Linked DNA regions of Saccharomyces cerevisiae S288C. The gene in region 2 interacts genetically with the main gene of each other region. Each region holds a gene or a part of one and is shown on either strand. Other genes may lie near its edges.

Region 1 (7,353 bases), on a different chromosome or scaffold from region 2:
TTAGCTCTTTACTATGTAATGAGGCCATAGCAAGCATTCCTCTTCGTAGGGCATCCTCTGCGGGCCATATAAAATTGTTGGGTCCCACAGCTCCCTTGTCGAACGTTGGTGGTATTTTGGTAAACTTGGAGAGTTTGGTGGCATAATCCAACAACTCTGTCGAATTGATTTTCGATCTTTGCTGTAAAATTGTGTTTTTCTCGAACTCTACTTGTTCAAGCATCGGTAGTGCTTTTAACTCGTCATGACATTCATTTAGAATTTCCAATATCTTCCTGGTTTTAGAATCTAGTTCTTCAGAGTCTTTGTCAATCTTCTGTAAGTTGCGGTAGATATTGTCATATTCAGCTAACAGTTTGACGTTTTCAAACAAGGCCTCATCAGTTCTGATCAAATCCTTGGCAATATCAAGGTTTGGTTTGAAACGATCTACAGATTCCACCAACTTACTCAATGTATCCTCGTACCGGCACAAATCTTCGTAGAGTTGGACCTTAGATAATTTGTCTTCACTATTCGTGTTTGAAGTAGCCTCTGCTACCAGGGATACAGAGGATGATCTGATGTGACCCATAGAAAACTCTACCGCTTTAGTATCTTGGACAGACATAACATTCGTTGTGTGTACTCTGGAAGTAATTGATACTAGATGCTTTCTCCACCGTTAACAATATACCAGAAAACCTTGTTGAAAACGGGACACGTTATAACTACTTTCCTTCGCGGTATGGTGAGCAGAGAATGCAAAAGTTTATCTTTTTCTCCAGCCTACCTTACGTAGGTGGTAATGCACTATTTTTTCGCATTTCTTTGAAAAGGCTGGCAATACGTCAAAGGCTATGTATGCTATAAGGGAAAGAAAGCTTATACGGAAAATAGCAACTGAATGTACTATGTTACTGTGCATTCGCATTCTATGTTAAAATTCAAAATCCATTGAGATGTATACACAAACATTTAAATAAGACATTTATATAAGCCGGCGCTTCCTGAAGTTCAGCACATGAAAAAATAGTGCTGCTCTTCTACCTTCAACCCAAATTGGTATTGAACCCAGAGCCTTTTTCAGGACTGGTTGCGATACCATCATGCTTCAGTTGCTTTTCAACTTCTTCCTTAAAGCCCTTTTTCCATAAATCATGATTTTCACCAATGACATAAGTAAGCGTCTTCTTCATATAACCTTCAGGACCTAAGAAACCCAACGCTTCTATAACATCTTCCAACAGTATTGTCATTCCGGAGCCTCTCTCCTCGCCTACTCCTGGATGCCTTATATTCACTATATGGACATGAAAATGGTAATATGAAGGTTGATAATGAATGAAAACTCTTAGCTCGTCCGGGTTTACATTATAGTCATAGTGCTGGGGGATGATGGTCTTAATCTTCTTATTGAGTCTAATTAACCAATCTCTATGGTTTGGGTTCAAATCTCTCAAAGATTTGATGTCGTCCCTGTACACGATCGCGACCAGGTATAACGAATCAATGTTGATTCCGTCCCACTTCATATCGGGCAAGATGACGAATCCATCCTCTTTATTCCTGCTACTGTATTCCTTATAAACAACTCTATCATCCTCGGCGCCCTCGTAAAGAATGTTGTTTACCCATTTCATTCTTTCGCTGGTACACATCTCTTGGATAAAGGGCACAACTATGTTTCTATACATATCAGGAGTTTCTCTGACGACATGTAAATCCTGCTGGTCGTATCCCTTGATGTGGAACTGCGAGGCGGGCCAAATTAAGTTAACCTTCGCAGTTGGGTTATGCAAAATATGCTGCTTCAAAACAGACAACCCCCAGTAGTAGATGTCATTCGAAGTTAATTCCTTCAGATCAGTAATACCGTTTAAAAAGGAGTACTCGTCTATTTCACGATGAAAGAAAATCGGAGTGCTACGGCCACTTTGAGAGGGTCTACGTACCGTTTCATCAAATATGAAATGCGTCTTTTCAGCAGTTAACACGGCATCCTTCCCATCTATGCTGCCTAGTAGTGAGATTACCTTTGTATGAGGGTTCGAATCTAACACCCTGACGTATTTAAACCTCCCAATTAAACTAGCTAAATCTTGGGAACCCATCATGTATTTTTTTACTTTTACACGCTCAAATCTTTTCAATTTTGCAATGAAAAGGTACCGACCTAACATATATTTGAAGACCAAACGAAACCCCCGTGCTTCTGTTTCTCTTCTTTCTGCCTTTATACTCATTGGTATTGTCACCCCTTATTTCCCCCCTAGGCGTCTGCGCGGCCGCTGTCATGGGGCTGTCCTTTCGGACTAGCATATAATCACTGACGCTAGCTCTAATCGATCAATAATTAAGTGGAAGTATTTTGTTGAGGTGGGTGATTATTATGGGGAAGATTTTTGACAATCGAATGAACACTTTAACAGCTTTTGGAGGCTAGAGTGCCAGTAAGCTCCATACTTCTTTGGAGTTGATTTCTTTTTCTTGCAGAATAGGTTGGACAAAGTACATCCATCAGAACAATTGCAGGTGCCTTTTGTTCACGCAATTACTGGCTTTTCCTTGTTTGTTTGGTCAAGAAGTTAGTGTTTAGCTTTTTCCCTTCATTTTTTTATTTTTCTTATTTTATAGATGCTTAAATGTCATTTTTGTCTTACTAATCATTAAATAGTTGGTCCGAAAGATAGGTCCAAGCGCAAGTCCAAGCCAATGGCTTGCTCTCGACTGTCTTCCATTACAATATGCAAGTTTTCTATCTAGCTGCTGTCGCAAGCATGTTTTTTTGTAAAAGAACTTCTCCTCTACTGCGTATCAAATAAATATTTATAATCTGGCTGACTCATTAGTTCCTCCCAGCCAAGGTTGTACGCCGTCCAAAATTCGTTGGATATTGTCTGTGCCAGTTCAGTCTCAATTGGCCCAGTTTCATTGTTATGCGAAGCGTTTTCGCTGTTATTTCGCACTTCCTCCGGGGGTAATCCTGGAGAATTTCCCGCCAATGGACTGGCGCTTGTGACGCCCAGGTCACTTAAACTGGGATCGATTGGAGTATTTACATTGTCAGTGAGCGAATAGGACCCATTCAATTCGTCTTGGAGTTGTTGTAACCATGTGTTTTCGACCTCGGTTCTATATTTGATTACTTTTTCCAAAACAGCTCTATATATGCTTTCCAGGGCGATGTTGATAACAAATGTATAAGAGCGAGCCATAATAATTCTTAACTGCTTGTTGTTATCATTAGACCATTTAGCAAATATATCTGAATGTATTTTGAAAGCAGTAAGTAAGTTCATAGCTTTATCCAACGGGATATTCAAGGTTGACAAATCCCAATCTGTGACTTCTTGATCTTTGATGTTGGATGATAGATAATAGCCCTTCTCAAAAAGAGTTAACTTATGATACAAAAACGCACAAAAGCCAGTAGAGGCCCTAGGAAAAAGGAAATTTGTGTATACTAAAGACAAGGCCATAAATGGCGGTAAATGAACGCAATTATGATCAAAAAACTCAGGAAAATGCTTCTCATCTAGGTTAAAACACAGTATGGTCGTATTGATGACAAGGGAAAAAGAGACCAAAATGGTTTGCAGGATGTTGTTCTCTAAAACAACGCTTTTTTCCTTGTAAATCAAATACCTCAAGGAATAAAACGTCAACAACAAATTCAAAACCTGCGCAAGCACTTTAATCTCGCACAAAGGAACTTTAGATATTAACTCACTGTCAGTGTAATATGATATTGGGTGGAATTCAGTCTCTACAAAGTTTCTTAGTTTTTTACAATTTTCGGCTAAGTCTGGAAATGCGCTTCTATCATAAATTTGATCTAGCATTGGTCGAGCTAATCTTAAAAACCTTTTAAGCTTGCCCATGCAGGAATTTGACTGATCGAAAAAAACCGTCGATGAATAATTGTTTGTATTTTTAGGCAACCTCTCACCATTCTCGCATTCATCGACTTGAAAATAGGATGAGTTAATCGCCAAACATCTCCCAATATTTAAAGAAACATTGAAATCTGATAATATAATCCAAACCCACAAATTTTCCAAACTTTCCATACTCCCCACAATATTTTCTTGATTTTTGTATATTTCTCTTATATTCAAGTGTAAACCCAGCATAATTGCCGTGCTGCATAATAAGTCAACTAGACTAATCATATGCGAATCGTCTCCACACGCCCAAATTAGTTCTCGATGATAGTATTTCAATAAGAGAAATTGAGCGCGTTCAATGAAATATACTTTAGCTGTTGACAGTCCCGTCAGCATGATGAGAAATTTCTCTATCTCTTCCGGAGTATTTTTGTAGAAATGGCGAATACACAGTATCATCAAAATAACTCCAATCTTATAATAGTTTTTCTTTGTCGATGGTAATAACTTTTCAATCCGCCTTTCACCGTTGGGTAACAGTTCGTCACTTGGAAGAAACGAGGAAGTGAAATCGTTTATTATTTTGGTTTTATCTAATACTTCACTAACTTCATTAGTTTCCAGTTCAGTATTGAAAAAGTCTGTTATAATCTTTGACGATTGTTCAAAAGATGGCAAAACGTTACAAACCTGTTGCAAGATGTCAGAGCCTGTCTTTTCTAACGGCGGTCCCTCTAGGAGTTGAGTTTCTGGCTTCATTGTCCATTTATGCCTAGCCTTCCATCTGTTTCTCTCGATTTTCACTTTGGACCAGAGCTGATTATACGTGTTTACAAACCGATTATCATCGTTTGAGAGATGCGTTCTCAAAGATGTAGGACCATATACTATTCTTCTTCCCGAGCCTTTACATTGTAAATAGTAAAAATTAGCGTAAGGGTTCCTAAATGGGCTCGTACTAAGCGCTACATCCTTCTCCGTCAACTCTTTGTCATCTAGTCTTTTCTCTAAATCCTCAATCCTTTTCAACAGTTCAATGTTCGGAGTACTGCCAAATAACTCTTTTGTTTCTATTTTGTGGGTGAATTTCTCTGTATACAGGCAACCAGAACGACCCCTCGTCTTACAAGTTGAGCACATTGGCTTCTGCTGGTCGCAACGTAATTTCCTTTTCCTACAAAAAGCGCATGACTTTATTGGTTTCCGTCTCTTCTGCGCCTTCTTTACAGTTTCCTCCGATGGGGAAGCTCTATCCTGTAAACTACCCCGCTTACTCATTAACAACTCCCTTTACCAGGACCATTCAATGTGCTTTCCCCTCTGACTTTCTATACTCTTGCCGTTATTATTACAATACCACCTGGCATTTGTCATTTTATCGCCTTGTAAACCATGGGTGTCACCCTACTGCCGAGCCTGAAAAAAACGTGCTGCAAGGGTCTTGAAGCAAAAAGATGATTTAACGGAAGAAAGGCATACAAGAAGGTGAAAATTCGTGTTTAACCCATCTGATACTTTCCCTTGTCTAACGTACTGATCCTGGAGGTTATCAAGAACACAAAAGTCTAGCAGCGAAAAGTACGCGAAGAATCTACTATAGATAATGGTGGTGCAGAAAAAACTTAGGGCTATCTTGACCGATGAAGGTGTATTGATCAAATCGCAATCACACCATATGTTCAATAAGCATGGTCAACTCAGAAGCGGAGATTCTTTATCCTTGTTGAGCTGCTTGTCCTGTCTGGATGATGGAACTTTGAGCTCTGATGGAGGTTCTTTTGATGAGGATGATTCCCTGGAACTGTTGCCTCTTAATACTACCATTCCGTTCAACAGAATTTTGAACGCAAAATATGTGAATGTCGGTCAGAAAGGCTTCAATAATGGCAAAATTTCTTCGAATCCTTTTCAAACGGAAAATCTGAGTTCTTCGTCTGAAAATGACGACGTTGAGAATCATAGTTTGAGCAATGATAAGGCTCCTGTAAGCGAATCACAGTCATTTCCCAAAAAAGACAAGTGGGATACAAAAACGAACACTGTGAAGGTGTCTCCCGATGATTCACAGGATAACTCACCATCTTTAGGGATAAAAGATAATCAACAGTTAATTGAGTTAACTTTTGCTGTACCCAAGGGCCATGATGTTATACCACAAAAATTAACCTTGTTAATAGATCACGTTTCTAGGAAATCGAGAGCAAATACCGGAGAGGAGAACATTTCTTCTGGTACTGTGGAAGAAATCCTGGAAAAAAGTTATGAAAATTCCAAGAGAAACAGATCGATATTAGTCATTATTAATCCCCACGGTGGTAAAGGTACTGCTAAAAATTTATTCCTGACAAAAGCAAGGCCAATACTAGTGGAAAGTGGCTGCAAAATAGAAATTGCATACACAAAATATGCCCGTCACGCCATCGATATTGCCAAAGATTTAGATATCAGCAAATACGATACCATTGCATGTGCCTCGGGTGATGGTATTCCATACGAAGTAATTAATGGGCTTTATAGAAGACCCGACAGAGTGGATGCGTTCAATAAACTAGCCGTAACTCAGCTACCTTGCGGTTCAGGAAATGCTATGAGCATTTCATGTCATTGGACAAATAACCCATCGTACGCCGCTCTGTGCCTTGTCAAATCCATTGAAACAAGAATAGACTTAATGTGTTGTTCCCAACCTTCTTATATGAACGAATGGCCAAGATTATCCTTTTTGAGTCAGACGTACGGCGTTATTGCAGAATCTGATATTAACACTGAATTCATCAGATGGATGGGTCCCGTTAGGTTTAATTTGGGTGTAGCATTCAACATTATCCAAGGTAAGAAATATCCCTGCGAAGTTTTCGTCAAATATGCTGCCAAATCTAAAAAGGAATTAAAAGTTCATTTCTTAGAAAATAAAGATAAAAACAAAGGATGTTTAACCTTCGAACCAAATCCTAGCCCAAACTCTTCGCCGGATTTACTATCTAAAAACAATATCAACAACAGTACAAAAGATGAACTTTCACCGAATTTTCTCAACGAGGACAACTTTAAATTAAAGTATCCGATGACGGAACCAGTACCTAGAGACTGGGAGAAAATGGATTCAGAGCTAACTGATAACTTAACAATCTTTTACACAGGGAAAATGCCGTATATTGCTAAGGACACCAAATTTTTTCCCGCTGCTTTACCAGCGGATGGTACCATTGATTTAGTCATAACGGATGCAAGAATCCCAGTGACAAGAATGACACCAATTTTATTATCCTTGGATAAAGGTTCTCATGTATTAGAGCCAGAAGTTATTCACTCAAAAATATTGGCTTATAAGATTATACCAAAAGTGGAGTCAGGTTTATTTTCAGTGGATGGTGAAAAGTTTCCTTTGGAACCCTTGCAAGTGGAAATAATGCCCATGTTATGCAAGACGTTGCTAAGGAATGGTAGATATATCGATACAGAGTTTGAATCCATGTAGATTAAC
Region 2 (8,898 bases):
AATTTTGGGAAGAATAGATGTTAAATGTGCCAGGAATATAGTCCGGATGATCCCTGTTGGTATATTTGTCCATCTGTTAAAAATTTAAGATTCACACTCGCAAACTTTCTTCTATAGTAGTTCTTTTCTTTATATTCGTTAGAAATGCAAAAGTTGCGAAGCTGTTTTGTTATATCCTGTAGATTGTAATATGATACTTCGATTCTTTCGGATTTAGTGTTTACTTGCTATTCTTCTAGTTTCAAATAAATAAGATAATAAGGGATGTCAACTTGGTAGTAATAGCATGAAATAGTATCGTAAAATTAAGGATGCTAGCGCTTTCGACAACAAAATGGGCTTGTTTTATTTTTGCAGAGGAGGTTCAGTAAATATTACCTCAGAGACTGATACAGATAATTCTTTCTTATTCGACTGCGTATTTATCTTTATCGTTTAGATTGAAGACAATAGACAATTAAATGAATCTATAGAAAGGTTAGGAAATAGTCTAAACTACTATGGTTTGTTAACGGCGAGGTCTTTAGTTTAATTTTCTGTCTGGAAAATAACTTTATCCTAAAAAGAAAATTTTCATCAACTGCAACTTTTTTTGTTATGCTTTTGTTCTCGCTAGGCGAAAGCTCCCTAAAAATATCCGTAGAATTTCATATGACACAACCAGGCCTTGATGTAAACGTCAAACTACACATTTCTCAAAGCTTAGAGAGCTGATGCATGAAATTTTTGCATTGTGTGGTATTATATGTGACTTAAGAAAGTAATTGTACATCATAAGAGAGAAAAATTCTGTTCAGAGAAGAACTATTTGAATATATTTTAAAAGATAAAAAAATGTCTTGGCAAAAATAAGTAAGTAATGAAAAAGAAATTTTCTCGAAGAAAAAAATGAAAAAAATGACTAAGTACTCAATATCCTTGATTTTCTAGTTTTCATTTTCCTCAAAAAAACTTGTCCACATTCATTCTCTGAATCGTTCTTCTTTGGTATATACTATCATGCGAATACGTCTTTTTTCTTTTGATATTAAAATATCTACAGACTATTTTGTGCACCTATAAAATAAATTTTGTCATGACTTGTAATTTTCCCATAATCGGGACTATTTAAGGACCAAAAATACACTTTCGCCCAACTTGCTGCTTGACCAGGACTTTCGATAATCTCCTAATTACACTAGCTAGTTTTTACTTGTTATGGTTTGTGCAGTTGAGATAGCTCAGTAAAATGGCTTTATGTGTTCTGATCTTATAATGAATCGTAATCGAAATCCACATATTTCATTCATACTGACGGAGAATAGGTTAAGCGCTGCTGCTATGGTACCTACTTTTACTCTTTGTGGTGTGCGATTAGTTTTGTAATACAAGGGTACTTCTGGTAATAAATATACAATTATTTTATGAAACTATGATACAGGAGGGCAGAAGTTCTGACGATAGAGCTACAAAAGGTAGTATCGACCTAGGAATTTATAAGGACTGTTTTTCTTTCAACAGCATCTTAGATGCATGTAGGGAAAACAACGATGCTGATAATGCAGAAAACTACTGCATACACTACTGAGGTGTAATTCATGTTTCCTGCAGTAACCGGTAGTGTATATGGGAAAGATAAAAATACCAGGCAGAACAAGGTCCATAGAATACATATAATATGAGGAATCATAGACATACGACGACGGTTAGGCCTGCTGACACAATTTACGTCACTCTCGATTCTATGAATGAATTTTTCCTTTTTAATAACGAACAGGAATATAAAAGAAGGAACTGCGTACGACATTAGTAACAGGGTGATGCATGCAGTGATAATTGCGTTGAAAGCGGTACTAGATCCCATAAATATACAGCCAATTATCGTTACACATATTTGTGACAAAAAATGGGCATATAATGGAGACTTAAACCCAGGTGTCAACACTGCTAGCTTCTTCAAGGATTTGTTTCCCAAGGAACCCTCTTTATAAAATGGTGCGTAACTTTTCCCGAATGATTGGAGGATTCGACTTTGCCAGGTTCCACTTGCAATGCCTGAAACAAAACCTGTTGTGATACACATACATTGCAGGAAGACACTGAGATTCCTATTACCAGTGGCCTGGTAAAATATTTCTACGATAGGTAAAATAGACTCAACGACTGCCGTTTGGTCAGTGATGCAGAAAAACAAACCAACGCAATAAATAAAACTAGTTACAAAGCCCACAATGATGGTAGTGATAATAACTTTGGGAACTAAGAAACGTGACTTACTATAACCCACTTCATCAATCATGTGCGTAGCAGAGTCAATGCCAACAAATGCCCAGATCGGATTGACCAAACCGACAACAAACGCCATTCCAGACGAATTCCAGCCTGTTTGATTATCAAAGCTCCCAAATATATTAGAAGCTTTGGGCCATGGGTCTACGGTGTTGTCAGATCTTGAAACAATACAAATAATGAAAGTCATGGCGAAAGACAATAGAGACGTATAGAGCCCAAACTGAGAGATATAGGGCAACGGAGTTGAATAAATGTTGAAAAGTGTCAAAACGGCATTGATACACTCGTAACCCACAAAAACATGCCAGTGCTTTAACTCGTAGTCCGGATGCAACAACTTATGAATACCGATACAGCTCATTGACAAAGATGAGCAGATACTTGCGGTAGTAAAAATGGCACCGAAATAGTTCAGCAACCCTACAACCATGGAAGAAACCTTTTGAAATTTAGAAGAAACTTCCACGTTGAAAGTTTGACAATAATTCTCGAGGAACACTTCTTCATCATCGTCAGAAGGGTCCTCGTACTCAGGGGTTTTCAAAGTGACTGATTCTTGTTCCAACATTTTAAGAACCCAAAATGAACCACCGCTGCTGTTTGGCAGGATAGCAGCAAAATCTCCCAGAGATATACCACACATGAGACTGAAAAAAGCAGCAATTATCAACCCATAGATGATAAGCAGTGGCCCTCCACTGGCAATACCAACGGCCATCGACGCTGAGATACCGACCCATGAGCAACTTAATGAGAACGCGATACCTAATAGGGACCACCAATTAAAGTGCTTGTCAAACTTGACTTCTGACCTTTCTGAACTAGACATTCTTATTTCCGTCCTGTGACGATCTGGAACAATAGACAAAAAAAAATTTCTTTCATATACAAATAGGAACACTGCCCCTACTCTGTTCATACCATGCTACTTATATATAGCTGATGAAAGCCTTGCAACTTTTTTATTTAAACTATTCTACGTCTTGTTGGGTCATTAATGACTCCACCGATGGCAGTTCATGCAACTCCATATCCTGATCATGTGCCGTAGTACATTGTGCAACCTGTGCCATAATATTGACACCGAACTTCTTCAGGGCCTGCACGTTGCCTTCATTCGGTTCCCCATTGAGAATGACCCCAAAAAGGTGGCTTCTCAAGCCATTATCGCAAAGATGATTCCAAGTCAGCAATGTATGATTCAGAGTCCCTAGCCCGCTGCGTGCCACGACAACTACGTACACTGGATGGCCGCTAGTCTCAATCAGATGTTTAATTAGATCCGTCGTAATTTCCAATTTACGAGTGATAGGAACGCAAACCCCGCCGGCTCCTTCTACGACCAATGGATTCTCTGCGCTCCACTCTTCAGGAACTACGAAATCCAACAACCTGATGTCGACATTAGGTTCGTACTCCATGGCCTGGAGCGGAGATAGAGGCTTCTGCAGCGCATAAGTGGGCGTGAATATAGGTGGTTGCCAAGTTGATGCGGCTATTTTGAAATTTTTCAATGTCTCGGAGTCACCTTGATCTGACTCAATTCCAGTTTGTACGGGTTTCCAGTATGCAGCTTTCCATTTGTGTACCAATAATGTTGATACAAAGGTTTTACCAACATCAGTGTCTGTACCGGTGACGAATACAATTGGTTGTTGTTCTTGTTGTTGAGATTTGCTGTTCATGACCTGTGCGCTAGTGATTTTTTGAGTTCTTTTCACTGGCCTACTTGTGGAAAAAAGTATATCTCTTTATATACTTCAGTAAACGAACTACCAGCGGGATTTTATTTTGTTTTGCCCAATAATTTTGAATTATAAATAGCCATTGTTTGTATATTTCATTTTCTTTTGGTCGGGAGGATGTCAACAGCGCAATTCGTTTTCTATTGCTAGGATAACAACTAATGTCCCAAGAAATTTCATATACACCAGATGTCGCGGAACTGCTAGACTTTGATAAAAAACATATTTGGCATCCTTATACGTCATTGAGTTCACCATTGAACGTTTATCCGGTAAAGAGTGCTCACGGATGCAAGCTGGTGTTGGATACCGACTCACCAGTGGACGTCGAGGTGATCGACGCCATGTCGTCGTGGTGGTGTGTTATTCACGGGTACAATAATCCAGAACTAAATGAGGCCCTTACCAAGCAGATGTTAAAGTTTTCTCACGTCCTTCTTGGTGGATTCACCCATAAAGGAGCTGTGAATCTAGTCCAAAAACTTTTAAAAGTGATTGATGAACCCTCTTTGCAGTACTGTTTCCTCGCAGATTCTGGCTCAGTAGCAGTGGAAGTAGCTTTGAAGATGGCTTTACAATCAAACATGTCAGGGGAAGCTACTAAAAATAGAACAAAGTTTTTGACAATCAAGAACGGGTATCATGGTGATACATTTGGCGCTATGAGTGTTTGTGATCCTGAGAATTCTATGCATCATATCTACAACGATCGACTCAGTGAGAACATCTTCGCCCAAGCTCCCTCTATTGTCGATGGCCTTCCAACCAGCCAGAACGGTTTCGAGGACCATTGGAATGCAGAAGAAGTTACCGATCTCAAGAAGCAATTTGAATTGCATAGTGATAAGATCTGTGCTGTGATTTTGGAGCCTATCTTACAGGGTGCAGGAGGTTTGCGACCATACCATCCACAGTTCTTAATCGAAGTTCAGAAACTATGTAACCAATACGACGTTTTATTCATCATGGACGAGATTGCTACAGGATTTGGTAGAACAGGTGAGATTTTCGCATTCAAGCACTGTCAAAAATACCAGGACCAACATGGCATCAGTCCTTCCGATCAGATCAAAGTTGTTCCTGACATATTGTGCGTTGGGAAGGGCTTAACCAGTGGATATATGACTATGAGTGCAGTGGTAGTCAACGACAAAGTTGCTTCCAGAATCTCTTCTCCAAATAGCCCTACTGGTGGCTGCTTCATGCATGGCCCCACCTTCATGGGCAATGCCCTGGCATGCAGTGTGGCAGAAAAGTCTATGGATATACTACTGCGTGGCGAGTGGAGAAAACAAGTGTCTGCAATTGAAAACCAAATTTATAGAGAACTATACCAGTACATCAAGAACCCAGATAATGGGCTCATTGGAACTGTTGTTAAGCGTGTGTCAGTTATTGGAGCTGTAGGTATCGTAGAGCTATACAAGAAGACAGATCCCGAGTGGTTCCAGAAAAAGTTTATATCCAAGGGAGTACATATCCGACCTTTCAACTGCCTGTGTTACATTATGCCACCATATGTGATCACGACAGAGGAATTGACGAAGGTTAATCAAGTCTTGATTGAAGTATTACATGAGTGGAAATCCCACATAAACCAATGATATACGATCTCATCAAGTCATTTGCCAAGGAATTCTTATTTCTTGCGTAAAATGCATTCTTTTACGCTATTATTTATATTGATATAACTCAAAATAAAAAATTTATGGTTATTTATTCTAGCGGACCTTTATATCTTACTTTTCTTATCATAAAACTATGTCGAAGCCTGCTGCACAAGAGAAAATTGACTAGTTCAGGGCAAGAACGTATCACAGGAAGTACGAGTTGAGAAATCTGGACCGAAATGGTCCGTGGTCGCCTACCCGCCTTCTGTGCCATCACGGTACTCTCTTCTATGTTCTCCCATTAGCGCTAGTTACACTCCTCAGCAGCTGACACATCTCACGATCCTATCTTTTATTTATTATGAGAAGAACGGAAAAGATGGGATATTATAGGCTCAGCTTACTCTTCAAGCAACTACTGTTGAACCGGGTCGTACAACTCATACCTTTGAACCCTCTGGTAAATTTTTCCGGCAGAGTCAAGATTATTATTGAGGCAAACCTGTAAATTTCCTTCAGCATTTGATTATCTTCCGCTACTTGAAATTTTGCACTATATCTTCCTCTATTAACCTATCCGCAGTAACTATTCACAAGACCTTGAATGTAGTAAACGATGTCTATATAACTTAATATTGTGTAAGATCTTACAAGATGTACTGGGCCCAGGCTTTTCACGGGGATCAAACCGTTGCTCTCCTAGATGAGAAAACGCTTTGCCATCACACTGAAGTAGCATGGGCAGTATTTTCCCTCGAATATTGTTATTATCAAAGCAAGCAATATCAGCAGTAGTTTTTATTTCAACATATAAGATCACCTATGTTGCAATCTCTGCAAAATTAGTAATGTTACCCTCCAAGTAATTGTATGACCTCTCTTCTGAAGGTAAACATTGCGCCTCTTTGTTTAAAGCAGCAGCACTAGTTTATCATGGTTTCGTTACCTAGGAAAGGATCGGTAGTGCTATGTAACACTTGGAAAAGATGAAATTTGTTAACATGAAATTGAGTCCCTTGTGTTAAGGTAAAAGTGCCATCTTTAAAAACGTACTCTGCAAAAAATGGTATTGCGCATACGAAGAATTAAGAAACTGGCACCATTGATCTTCACATCATTGTTGTCTCTCATTGTTCTTTTTAGGGTCTACCGACAGTATCCATTCTCCGACCATTTCGAAACACGCAGAGAAGATGATCGCTCTGGCAACGTGCACTGCTTTTCTAGACTGCGTCAAATAGAGGAATATGAAAAGCCGGAATTGACAAGTAAATTCTATGAACCGAATAGATGGAAATCTTTTATATCTTACGTGACCAGGAGTCGCAAGGATGTGAAAACTGTGTCCCGATCGCTATCCAATTTGGATTTGTATCAAAAATGCTCAAAAGAAATCCGTGCTGATCAGGATATTTCCCTTCTTCATAGCATAGAAACCAAGTTGTTCCCATATATAAACTTCACAGCCCTAAATAGTGAACAATCTCATAATTTTTGGCCTGTTCATACCCGATTTGATGGAACAAAGTACCGTGGACAGGTATTACAATTTTCTTCTGAGAACAATTCGTTCATTGGAACTTCACCCATTGAATTCAAGGCTAGCGAACCTTTTTGGGAGAACTGGTTGAATTCAGCTCTTCAAAGGAATTCAAAAGGTGTGGTAATGAGCGTATCGGAATATCTGGTGGCTGATACAATTCGACTAATAAGAGTTTTGCGGCTGTTAAATAATTCCCTTCCAATTGAAATCGTTCACAAATCGGATTTACATGAGAGTTCTCAACAGCTCTTGATAGCAGCAGCAAGAGAATCTGGATCCTTAAATTATCCCCCTCAGGAATTGTGGTTTCTGGATGTGAAAGACATGTTAAATGACGAATATTTAGCGAGATTCAAGAGATTTTCGAATAAGTGGCTGGCAATTACCTTTTGTTCATTTCAAATACCAATCTTTTTGGACTCTGATACTGTACCTTTTGTCCCGTTGGATACACTCTATGAAATTGACGGATTTAAAAGAACAGGTACACTGTTTTTCAAAGACAGGAGTTTTCCAACCTCCAAGTTAAGTCCACTCCAAGTTAAAGTTTTGAAGCAGATAATCAATAATAGTCTGGATGTATCCTCGGATTCGGAGCAAGGTTTTGAAATCTTAAAACATAACCTAAACGATGAGATGGCAATTGATGCAATAGAGGCCTTGATTTTCAAGAAACAAAAACATTACATGGACAGCGGCTTAGTGATATTCGATAAACAAAAACACTTTTTCTGTCTACCAATCGCAATAATGCTGCAATTTTCGCCTATCCAAGAGTTTTTCCATGGTGATAAGGAATGGTTTTGGCTTAGTTTGTTTATTTCCAAAAAAGAGTTTACTTTTTATCCAATAGAGGCTTCGAATGTAGGAAGATTAGAGAAGCCGGAGACTCTAGAAAGCAGTACAATCTGTTCTACCCAGCTATCTCACACGGACGTGTACGGTAATCTTTTGTGGTTGAATGGCGGATTATCCGTTTGCAAAAAAAATTGTTGGAATTATGATTTTACAAAGCGTAAAGAGATTGCGGCCAAATACAAAAGCGTTGATGAATTACGGAATTACTATCAATCACCTGTGAAACTCGAAGCTGTCATAATACCCGATGTCAGCAAGTCCCCCTGGTCGCAACAGAGCGAATGCGTTATGTACAGCTATTGCACACATTATAGGAAGGGACAGTACGGAAAATTGATAGAGTTTACAGATTCTCAAAAGAAATATTACGAGAAAGTTGTAGAATTATGGAACAAGGTTGTATAGAGTATGTTTCAGTATGAGTACGGTGAATTTCCTATAAGTTTTTAAACTTTTAGATTTTTCTATAAAGCATGTTAAACCCTTCTTGACATCGTTTTCAAACGGCATCTTTCCTACGGAACTAGGCTGTTTTTGAGATATCCTTATTTAAGTTCCTCTTGGCACAATGTTATTCCCGCATTTATATTTAGTTAACATTATGTGAAATTCGCTCATAAAAAGAGCCTTAGCTCTTTCTTCATTTTGCCTCAAGAAAACTTTAAAATAAAGTAGGAATGCCAACAATACTTTTCTTCAGTAAAAGACGAATATTGGCGTAGAATTTTACCGGTAATCATATATACTTGGCTTAGAACACTGACACATGCATTTTTCTCTGGACCCTTGCACAAATCATCAGTAGCGCCTGAATCAAAAACTAACAAAATACCATATCTGTTTTAAACAAATAAGTATATCGCATGAAGTA

What was found.
Region 1: mutations in BIO3 (region 2) and YRM1 together harm fitness more than expected from each alone (negative genetic interaction), as found in Saccharomyces cerevisiae (one large-scale study listed by BioGRID).

Annotation. Positions count from the first base shown.
Region 1 is NC_001147.6:652,004-659,356, reverse strand, and holds YRM1 (Yrm1p), read right to left. Parts: upstream 5,148-7,353; coding exon 2,787-5,147; downstream 1-2,786. Other genes in the region: MED4 (Med4p), read right to left, coding at 1-610; DCS2 (5'-(N(7)-methyl 5'-triphosphoguanosine)-(mRNA) diphosphatase), read right to left, coding at 1,032-2,093; sphinganine kinase LCB4, read left to right, coding at 5,473-7,347. UniProt on the Saccharomyces cerevisiae protein: Transcription factor involved in the regulation of multidrug resistance genes. Acts in concert with YRR1.
Region 2 is NC_001146.8:730,114-739,011, forward strand, and holds BIO3 (adenosylmethionine-8-amino-7-oxononanoate transaminase), read left to right. Parts: upstream 1-4,177; coding exon 4,178-5,620; downstream 5,621-8,898. Other genes in the region: HOL1 (Hol1p), read right to left, coding at 1-73; BIO5 (Bio5p), read right to left, coding at 1,505-3,190; BIO4 (dethiobiotin synthase), read right to left, coding at 3,243-3,956; MNT4 (putative alpha-1,3-mannosyltransferase), read left to right, coding at 6,690-8,432. UniProt on the Saccharomyces cerevisiae protein: Catalyzes the transfer of the alpha-amino group from S-adenosyl-L-methionine (SAM) to 7-keto-8-aminopelargonic acid (KAPA) to form 7,8-diaminopelargonic acid (DAPA). It is the only aminotransferase known to utilize SAM as an amino donor.